Linked DNA regions of Saccharomyces cerevisiae S288C. Changing the gene in region 1 together with any one later gene gives a genetic interaction. Each region holds a gene or a part of one and is shown in the gene's direction. Other genes may lie near its edges.

Region 1 (5,374 bases):
TGTCGGGAAAAACAAGGATCATATCCTTTTACAATTAAGCCATCTACCACCTGAGGTACTAAAGGAAAGGCTACCGGGAATATCTGAAACAGCTGCTGTCTTTGCGGGTGTCGATGTCACCCAGGAGCCAATTCCTGTCTTGCCAACTGTCCATTATAATATGGGAGGCATTCCCACAAAATGGACTGGTGAAGCATTGACCATTGACGAGGAAACTGGAGAGGATAAGGTCATCCCAGGATTGATGGCGTGTGGTGAAGCTGCTTGCGTATCGGTTCATGGAGCGAACAGATTAGGCGCTAACTCACTACTGGATTTAGTCGTTTTCGGTCGCGCCGTTGCAAATACCATTGCTGACACATTACAGCCTGGCTTGCCTCATAAGCCATTGGCTTCAAACATCGGGCACGAGTCAATTGCTAATTTGGATAAAGTAAGAAATGCTCGCGGCTCACTGAAAACCTCTCAAATCAGGTTGAACATGCAAAGGACAATGCAAAAAGATGTTTCTGTTTTCAGGACGCAAGACACTCTAGATGAAGGTGTTAGAAATATTACTGAAGTGGACAAGACATTTGAGGATGTGCACGTTTCTGATAAGTCAATGATCTGGAATTCTGATCTCGTAGAAACTCTGGAATTGCAAAATTTACTTACTTGTGCCACACAAACGGCTGTTTCTGCTTCCAAAAGAAAGGAGTCTCGTGGTGCTCATGCGAGAGAGGACTATGCAAAAAGAGATGATGTGAATTGGAGAAAGCACACATTATCATGGCAAAAGGGGACATCAACACCTGTAAAAATCAAGTACAGGAATGTAATCGCACATACTTTAGATGAGAATGAATGCGCCCCAGTCCCTCCAGCTGTCAGATCCTATTAATTCTTATTTATTTATTTATTTATTTTGGAGGGCAAACTTATTTATTGATCTGGCAAAAATGATCTTTCCCTTTTTTCTTATTTTTCTCTCTATCTCTCTCATTGATTCTTGGTCAATAGTACTCGTTTACTGTCAACTTACACCTTATCTATTATGCTATATAATTTTATGCAAGACATTGAAGTACAATATACGTCGAGCTGCAATATGCAAAAATATCAGAGGGAAACCAGCTCATTAGGAAATATGACATGTGGGCTATCTGTTTGTTGGTGGTAGCTGGGTTTTTTTTTTTTTTTTTTTGATTTTGTCGTGCGGGTGTGCAGGCTGGGATTTCAAACAAATAACAACGAGTAATTGACAAGAAAAACTTATTGGCTTATTTTCTTTTTGTTCTTCAAAATTGTTTGCCTTACCCTCTCCCTCAGTTTGTTTTCGAGTGATTGTCTATTAGGATCAATAGTCAACTTTGCTGTTTCCATACTTAAAACATCACTAGTCTTTATGCCGAACTTCGCATTTATAAAAGTGTCGCAAATCAATCTCATATCGTCGTAATTTTTTCCATACCACAATTCACATAAATTTCCAGTGACCTTACACAGGTCTAAAAACTTTTCATCATCTTTACTGGCATCTTCCTTTTCAAAAATTTTCTTGAAATGCAAAATCAATTCAACAAATTCATCGTTATTATTCGTATGTTCATAGTCACCTTGGCTCACTAGTTCGTGAAGCTCATCGTAAATGGATAACAAAAGGGTGATGATAGTGCATGCAATGAAAATATCCAAGGGATAATTGAACGTCAGGACGTGGTCCCAAACGATTAGCACATATTTTAAGGGTAATTCTCTTAAAAATAACAACCTTGTCCATCGGATGAGCCAGATTAGGTTGGAGTGAATCAGATGGTCTACGTTTTTTTTCTTCCCGCTGCCCGTTTTTGGTGGTTGGTAAAAAACCTTTGAAAACAAGTCTGGCAAACAAATCCTAAAGATTTTCGTGAATACTCTCTTATCCCAGTTAATCAAATTTTCTTCGTTATAAAAAATCGGTTCGATTTGGTTCATTAGCTTGTTAAAGATAATCAGAACGTTTTGCAAATCGGTATTATCGAGATCTGTACCGTGATATAATTGCAGATAAATGACGCTTAATATTTCGTGGAACCCTTGTTTATACTGTAGGTGTTCGCTTTGATGTATAAGCAGGTAATTGTACAAAAGTTGTCTCATTTGAGCATGAACCTTGGGTTCCTGAAATATATCGTCAAGCATTATCCTTGAGAGGTCCAAATCTATAATTTCCAGAGTTTCCCTCAGTGTCAACGGCTTTTCATCACTTCCCTTGGACAAAGAACCTTTAGTTTTGTCATTGTCATCAGACAAGGGATGTTTTTCAACAGCCTCGACGGGAGTCAGCCTCCTGATTCCCACTGAGGAGGAAACGTTCGAGTGCAAGACCCTTTTAGGTACATTTGCATTATGATTTTCGTCATAGTTGTCGCCATCTGCCAGCATAGGCACTGGCACCAAGCCGAACTGGTTAAGGTCCAAACCTTTAAAGTTATCAGTTAACAAGCAGTTGTTGTTTTCATCACACAGAAGCAAAGCTTTCCAGAGCCAGCCTCTACTATTTTCTTTAAAGATAGAGTCATGGTAGAGTTCACCTTTCCAAATTCCCTTCTGCACCAGTTGGTCTCTTGTCTCGTAGTGGTCAATCGCCCATTGTAAGACATCCTTCATGGTTGCATAAGCGAAAAAATACAAACGCACGACAGCTAACCCTCTCTATGTATGCCAATTCTCTTGACAACTCTCCCCCATTGTTCTGAAAAAGGTAATGAAATTAAACGCTGCTGTACCGATTATGGAAAACTCAATGGAAAAATTGAAAAAAAAAAAAAAAGGAACTAGTAATGCCGTAGGAGAAGCGGGTAACATAATATCCGGTTTTCCTTTACGACCGCTTACAGGCCTAAACCAGCGCACCATCCAGTTACAATAACACTTGGAGCATGCGTACACGTGTGCGTATTCTACGGCTGGCATGGGCAAAATAAGACGTGGAATTTTTCTGTGGTCAGAACTTTGCGTCAGTAAATAATTCAAGAAAAAATAATAATTATGTCGAAAAAAAAATAGAAAAAAAAGAAAAAAAGAATACTAAAAGGTGAGTGTTCAGGAAAACCGCAAGCCATGTTTGTTGATTATTCCGGACTGGAGCGTTACACGGATATAAATGCATCTTTTGGTAAGTTGGTCAACACTTACTGCTGTTTTCAGCGCTGTGAAGCCATCAGCGAACAATTGGAGATTCTGAAAAGTCTAGTACCAAAGTGCCACGACATTGTGGCACTTACTGACGAAGACTTTGCTAGTGGCCGTACTGCCGGACTGACGCAGAAATTGTTTGCTATGGCGATGACCCTACACCAGATCACCGACTGTATCGACCTCCTGCAGAAATGCAACACCATAATACCCATCGAGATCGCCAACCCGGCTAGCTTTGAAAGCGGCGCCGCGACGGCGCCGCTACGTCAAAGCTATGCTAGGCTCTTGGATGACTGGTCCCACTACATGGGCCCATCAACGGTAAAACACACAGGCTGTACCAACCGACCCAAGTGGAGATTTCCCTGGCAACAGTCACGGACTATCATCATCCCCATGCTGTTTATTGGCGAAACTGCAATGAGCACCAGGGACCTAAGGTCTGTGCTGCATGATTGTGAGATCAGGCACGCGAGCGAAATGCCGCTGCAGCTACTTTGGACGTCGTCACCGGAGTTGGTGTACGCCACACCGCATGTTGACGACTACGACATTTGGTCGCGCTACGGGTCTGATTACAACATGCAGATAGAGGACGAAGACGAAGCATCAAAAGGGCGACAGCGCAAGTGTGTGGTGCAGTTGGAGGCACTGTTGGGTGCGCTACCTACTACGGACCCGTTGTTCCAATGGTAGCCCGGGCCTTTTTTTTTTTCATCAGCTTCTCTTTTAGGCCGTCGGCCCCGTTCGATGTTCACCCGTCCTGGACAGCTTGCTCTCCCCCCTTCCTCGTGCTGCGCGACTGTTTACGTTATTGGCTTATTGTATTGTTTTCGCATCTAGAACGTTCAGGTTCAATTTACGCAACGGTGTTTCACTCGAAGCATCTGGCTGTACAAGCAAATGCTGCGTTCTCATTCTCCTTTATATAACAAGCTTCTGCCTTAAAGCGTTCATATGTACATACATATACACCACTCAGGCACTCGCATAATCGCACTTAAATACGCAAAATATACAAGATAGCCCTACAACTGCTCCATGGACTCCAAGGACACGCAAAAGTTGCTTAAGGAGCACCGAATCCCCTGCATCGACGTTGGATGGTTGGTCAGGCCCAGTGCCTCCACCAGCAAGAGCTCCAGACCAGGGAAATCCGAGTCCAAGGCCAACAGTGTGGCTCCTGACATCCAGATGGACACTGCTCGCCCGCCCGTTTTCGAAACGTCTGTAGACTCTTCCAGCAGCATTCTTTCTTCAAACGATAAGGGACGCCGTCACTCCGTAGCTGCGAGCTTGCTAATGGATAATCAGCGTGCTAACGCTGGGTCTACATCCGTTCCCACAAACATTCCTCCCCCTAGGGGTAGGTCGAAGTCAGTGGTGGAGACTAACCTGTCTAACGTTGAGGCTGACTCCGGACATCATCACCACCACCGCCACCACCATCACACGGAAGATGCTCCTGCACCTAAGAAGGTCGGATTCTTTAAGAGTCTGTTTGGCCATAGGAAGAAGGATCAGGAACAACAGGAGAAGGAACGAGAAAGGAAAGAGCGCTCACCCTCTCCGACTCACGTGGACCGTGGCGCGGCCATAAGAAGAGAAAGAACGGCTACCATATCTGCGGAATCACCACCGCCTTTGCAGTACAATGCTCCACCCTCTTATAACGATACTGTGGTACCGTTAACAAGATCCAAGACGGAATCAGAAGTGTATTACGAAAATCATCCGCAAAGCTACTACCATGGCCGTATGCGCACATACCACTCACCAGAAGAGGGTAAAGTCGACGGAACTTCCCCCGCAGACGATCATAACTATGGCGGCTCTCGACCTGATCCTAGATTAATGGATTTCTTGCGCTACTACAAATCTAAGGATTACAAATTAGCCGCCTTCAAAGAAGGGAACTTTATTAAGTCATCTGCGTCTCCCACAACCAAGAAAAATAGACGCGCTTCGTTCTCATTACATAACGACAAACCACAACCTGCCAAATCACTTGCTCACCAGAAATTTGACGCTAAGGGAAGACCCATTCCGCCGCATCCCGACGCACCCAAATTGCCTTCCGCCTTCAGGAAGAAGCATCCAAGCAACGCATCGATAGTAGACACAGTGGATTCCAATTCGGACGTTTCCTCGTCAGCGCAGAATAATAATCAGACACCTTCTTCTCATAAATTCGGCGCCTTTTTAAGGAAAG
Region 2 (4,679 bases), on another chromosome or scaffold:
CACTCGGAAGTTTGGATAGTTTCGGATTATAAAAGGAGACAAGATAAGGATTTTAAAACAGGCCATTGGCAAAAGAACAACATTTTATTGAATGAATATATGAATTGGGCTGTCCTTTGAAGAGGATATGACAAAAAGTGATTTATTATTTGATAAATTCAACGACAAACATGGAAAGTTTCTAGTTTTTTTTGGTACCTTTGTAGATACCCCTAAATTAGGAGAGCTGAGAATCAGAGAGAAAACATCTGTTGGAGTTCTCAACGGAATCATCAGGTTTGTGAACAGAAATTCACTCGATCCTGTCAAAGATTGTTTAGATCACGATAGTAGCTTATCACCAGAGGATGTCACGGTGGTTGACATAATTGGAAAAGACAAGACTCGAAATAACAGCTTTTATTTTCCAGGTTTTGTTGACACGCATAACCATGTCTCGCAATATCCAAATGTCGGCGTATTTGGGAATTCTACCCTGCTGGATTGGCTAGAGAAGTATACCTTCCCCATAGAAGCCGCACTAGCAAACGAAAATATTGCGAGAGAAGTTTACAATAAGGTAATAAGTAAGACGCTTTCTCACGGTACAACGACTGTGGCTTACTATAATACCATTGATCTCAAGTCCACTAAGCTCTTGGCTCAACTAAGCTCCTTATTGGGGCAGCGTGTTCTTGTTGGAAAAGTGTGCATGGATACCAATGGTCCCGAGTATTATATTGAAGATACTAAAACTTCCTTTGAAAGCACTGTGAAAGTTGTTAAGTACATACGGGAAACCATTTGTGATCCCCTCGTAAATCCTATAGTGACACCAAGGTTCGCGCCCTCTTGTTCTAGAGAACTAATGCAACAGTTGTCCAAGCTAGTCAAGGATGAAAACATACACGTTCAAACCCACTTGTCGGAAAATAAGGAGGAGATACAGTGGGTTCAAGATTTATTTCCCGAATGTGAGAGCTATACTGATGTATACGACAAATATGGGCTGCTCACAGAAAAAACAGTATTGGCACATTGTATTCATCTAACAGATGCCGAAGCGCGTGTGATTAAACAGCGTCGCTGTGGTATATCTCATTGTCCCATTTCCAACTCCTCTCTGACTTCTGGAGAGTGTAGGGTTCGATGGTTGCTGGACCAGGGCATAAAGGTTGGTCTAGGCACCGACGTTTCAGCCGGTCATTCTTGTAGCATACTCACCACCGGAAGGCAGGCCTTTGCAGTTTCAAGGCATTTGGCAATGAGAGAAACTGATCATGCAAAACTTTCAGTCTCCGAGTGCCTATTTCTTGCTACAATGGGCGGAGCACAAGTCTTGCGTATGGATGAGACCTTGGGGACTTTTGACGTCGGTAAGCAGTTTGACGCTCAAATGATCGATACCAATGCTCCCGGCTCAAACGTGGATATGTTTCATTGGCAGCTAAAGGAGAAGGATCAAATGCAAGAGCAAGAGCAAGAGCAAGGGCAAGACCCTTATAAGAACCCACCGCTGCTTACTAATGAAGACATAATCGCAAAATGGTTCTTTAACGGTGATGATCGCAACACCACTAAAGTTTGGGTAGCCGGCCAGCAAGTCTACCAGATTTAGTTGTATATGTTTAGAGGGCTACTATATCTTGTTCCAAGTATTAATGAGTAATTTGAGTATATGTACAAATTTCTTTTGCGTATCGCGCTTTAGCCGCCCATTGTACAATATTAAGATTAGGAACACAAAGAGATTTGCCAGTGAAAGAATTGCAAAACTCGGTTTGGGATTTTGAATGGGATAGTTGAATACAACAAACTTCTCCGAATATGAATCATTGGTTAGCATTTTTGAATAAGCCTGAATCCCTAAAGGAACAAAACTCGGATTGCGACCAGCAGGGGGAGATGAGACATGTTACTGATGGCACTTTAACTAAGTCTCCAGAAAGTAAACCTTTTCGAGAGCGGCGTTCACAAACTTGGATAGACTCTGAAGTACCTACGTCCACTGAAAAATCTAATGTGCAGGAAAGTATTTCTTCTGATATTATATCAAAACTGTCGAATAGGCGTTCCCGAAGAAACCGCTCAGAGAGTTGGGCAGGTTCAGAAGCCTCTTCACCTTCTGGTAACATTAGTACATTGGAAAATGCTACGGAAAAAAATACTTTAAAATCGCCTAATAAATTTCTACAAAGGGGTGGTTTACCAACTGTAGGAATAGGCTCGCAGGCTCTGTCACCTGCAGGAAAGCCCAGTACATTAGGAAATGTAAGCCCTGGTAAATTTACCACATACAAAGTACACAATAGTATTGAAGTGAATAGATTTTCTTCTACACCTACAAAGCTCCTCACGAATCCCCACAAAGTCGCAGCAATCTCAAATGATGAGCATTATGTTGTAAGCAATGAGAGTCTGGAGGAGAATATAGAGGTTGCGCATCTAGAGAACGTATTTCGCTCATCTAAAACTCCAGATGAAGAACAGTCCGAATATATGAAATTAGGAGAAATTAGGCTATCTTCTTCATCATATGGAGGAAGTATTTCTAAAGAAAATAGTTTACCCAAGGTATTAGATGAGCTCCAGTCCCAAAATGAAGAGATCAAAGCACTAAGACAAAAACTAGAAGAGAAGGATGACAGGATTCAAGAACTAGAAGAACTTAATAGCATGAATGATGCTAAACTTCAAAGAATAGAAGACTTGCAGAAGGAATTCCACAACGAAAGAAAAGCTGCATCAAAAAGGCTCAACATTGTTCAGGACCGGTTTCGCAAAGAAATTAAAAAAATTAGAGAAGAAAAAATTACAGACTTTCAAAACAAAAACGCTAGCAAGAAGGAGAAGAATGAAGTGACTAGTGCCAAAACTAAATGTAAAGCTTTTTCTCAAAGAAATATTTTAGTTTCGGAACTATACAGGAAGCAAAAACAAATCCTAAACTTGCAGCAAGAAAATGATAAATTTCTAAAAGATATTAACGAATCGAATAACTCTATAGTAAAATTAAGATCTGAAGTTGAAATACTGAAAAGCAATTTGCAACTTTCTCAAGATGAAAATAAAAAATTACATGATAATGGTTCGTTTTACGAGAAAAGGTTAAATGATGTTTACAGCTATATGCAAAATCTTTCTCTTTTTGAGAAAGACCTTGGTAAATTCATACTAGAAGAAATGAAATGTGGCCATTCCCCTTCGATGTTTCAAAACGGTTTTGCCAAGCTTTATCCGGATTTTCAAGATATCAAAAATCTTGAAAATATGGAGCAATACAAACAATTAAAAGGAAAGATAGAACTTTTGGAAAAGAATGACCGTATACGTCTTGAAAAAATCATTTCTGTCTTTAAATTGATTAATGAAAGATTACATTTTATGCAACAGCAGCACAGTCACAAAATAAAATATCTTCAAAAAGAGGCGTTAACAAAAGAACAACAATTTCGTTTGGAAAAAAGGAGATGGCATGATATCCTGAACCTCAAGGAAGAAAACTTTCAAAAACTGAAGAGCGAGTTAAAAGAAAAATTAATACTAAGTGAAAAAATTCAGAAAAATGCCGAAGATAAATTGAACGATTACATGAATGAACACCAGGAAATTGTTGAGAAACTTCAGAATCAGGCTTTGATTGCTTCAAGATGGAGCACTCAAATTCAAGAGTCAGAAAACACACATAAGAAAATTACTGACGAGTTAGCTGGAAAACAAAGTGAAATATTAAAACTCGAAGAAACAATTCTATCACTAAAAGAAGATGTATTCCAAGAGAAGCTGAATTTAAAAAAACTATATGGTGATCCTTCTACCGAACTTAATTTTGAAACTGTTGGAAAATCTTTTCCACATATAACGAAGGAAAAGTACGACTCCTTGGGTCTTGATATTCTGACAGACCTTACCTATGTGCAATCGCAAAATCTAATCAAAAATTTATTAATTGTGTTGGATATCCCATTAAAAACCTTCTTAAAAATTGTACCAACAATTGTCATTCAACTTAGATGTGAGCTTACACTTCTCACAAAATTTGCTAATGATTTGAACCTTAAGGTTTTTGGTAAACAGTTAGATTTCAAAAGTAGAAGAAAGGTCGCAATGAATGAGTTTTTGAACAATCATGATATTGCTGAAGTAAAGCATCCTCTTGAGTATGATTTGCAAGCGTTGTTTAAATATTTCTTTTCTTAGCTTTTTTTTTTTTATTTAGAACTAATATATTCAATGGTGTCATTAATTATTATTTAGAGAATAAGTTACTGGTGGGGGGTGCACCTAAAATAAAGTCACATAATATAGAGCATGGCAGATATTTTACCGCTGGTATTGCTTTTCCGAAATTTTGGTGGAATATTCTTCTGAAAGATTTCAATTTGCTAACAGACTTCTTAAGCACTTACAAGAACAATGTAACTTCTGATCTGCTGTTGGAGATGTTCTGAGATATAAACAAAATTTACATCAAAAGGCGAGTAATACAATGATACAAATGATTATAAGTACATACTAATGTTACAATTTCTAATTCCATTTTAGTCAGAATATACTATGTTGTATAATAATAAAATAATGTCCATTTCCATAGCATACTGGTAAGATTTTATTGAAATAGGCAAAGAAAAAAGCAAAGAACTCTAATAAGAACGACAAACCTCGAAATCTGAGGGGAAGGAGAAGAAAAAAAGGAAAAT

What was found. Genes that interact genetically often act in the same process or in processes that back each other up.
Region 2: of YJL043W (region 1) and ADY3, changing one enhances a phenotype caused by changing the other (phenotypic enhancement), as found in Saccharomyces cerevisiae (one study listed by BioGRID).

The regions. Positions count from the first base shown.
Region 1 is NC_001142.9:357,046-362,419, forward strand, and holds YJL043W (uncharacterized protein), read left to right. Parts: upstream 1-3,084; coding exon 3,085-3,858; downstream 3,859-5,374. Other genes in the region: succinate dehydrogenase SDH9, read left to right, coding at 1-883; GTPase-activating protein GYP6, read right to left, coding at 1,255-2,631; MHP1 (Mhp1p), read left to right, coding at 4,204-5,374.
Region 2 is NC_001136.10:25,903-30,581, reverse strand, and holds ADY3 (Ady3p), read left to right. Parts: upstream 1-1,806; coding exon 1,807-4,179; downstream 4,180-4,679. Other genes in the region: GUD1 (guanine deaminase), read left to right, coding at 128-1,597. UniProt on the Saccharomyces cerevisiae protein: Involved in the pathway that organizes the prospore membrane (PSM) during sporulation. Mediates the assembly of the DON1 ring structure at the leading edge of PSM during meiosis II.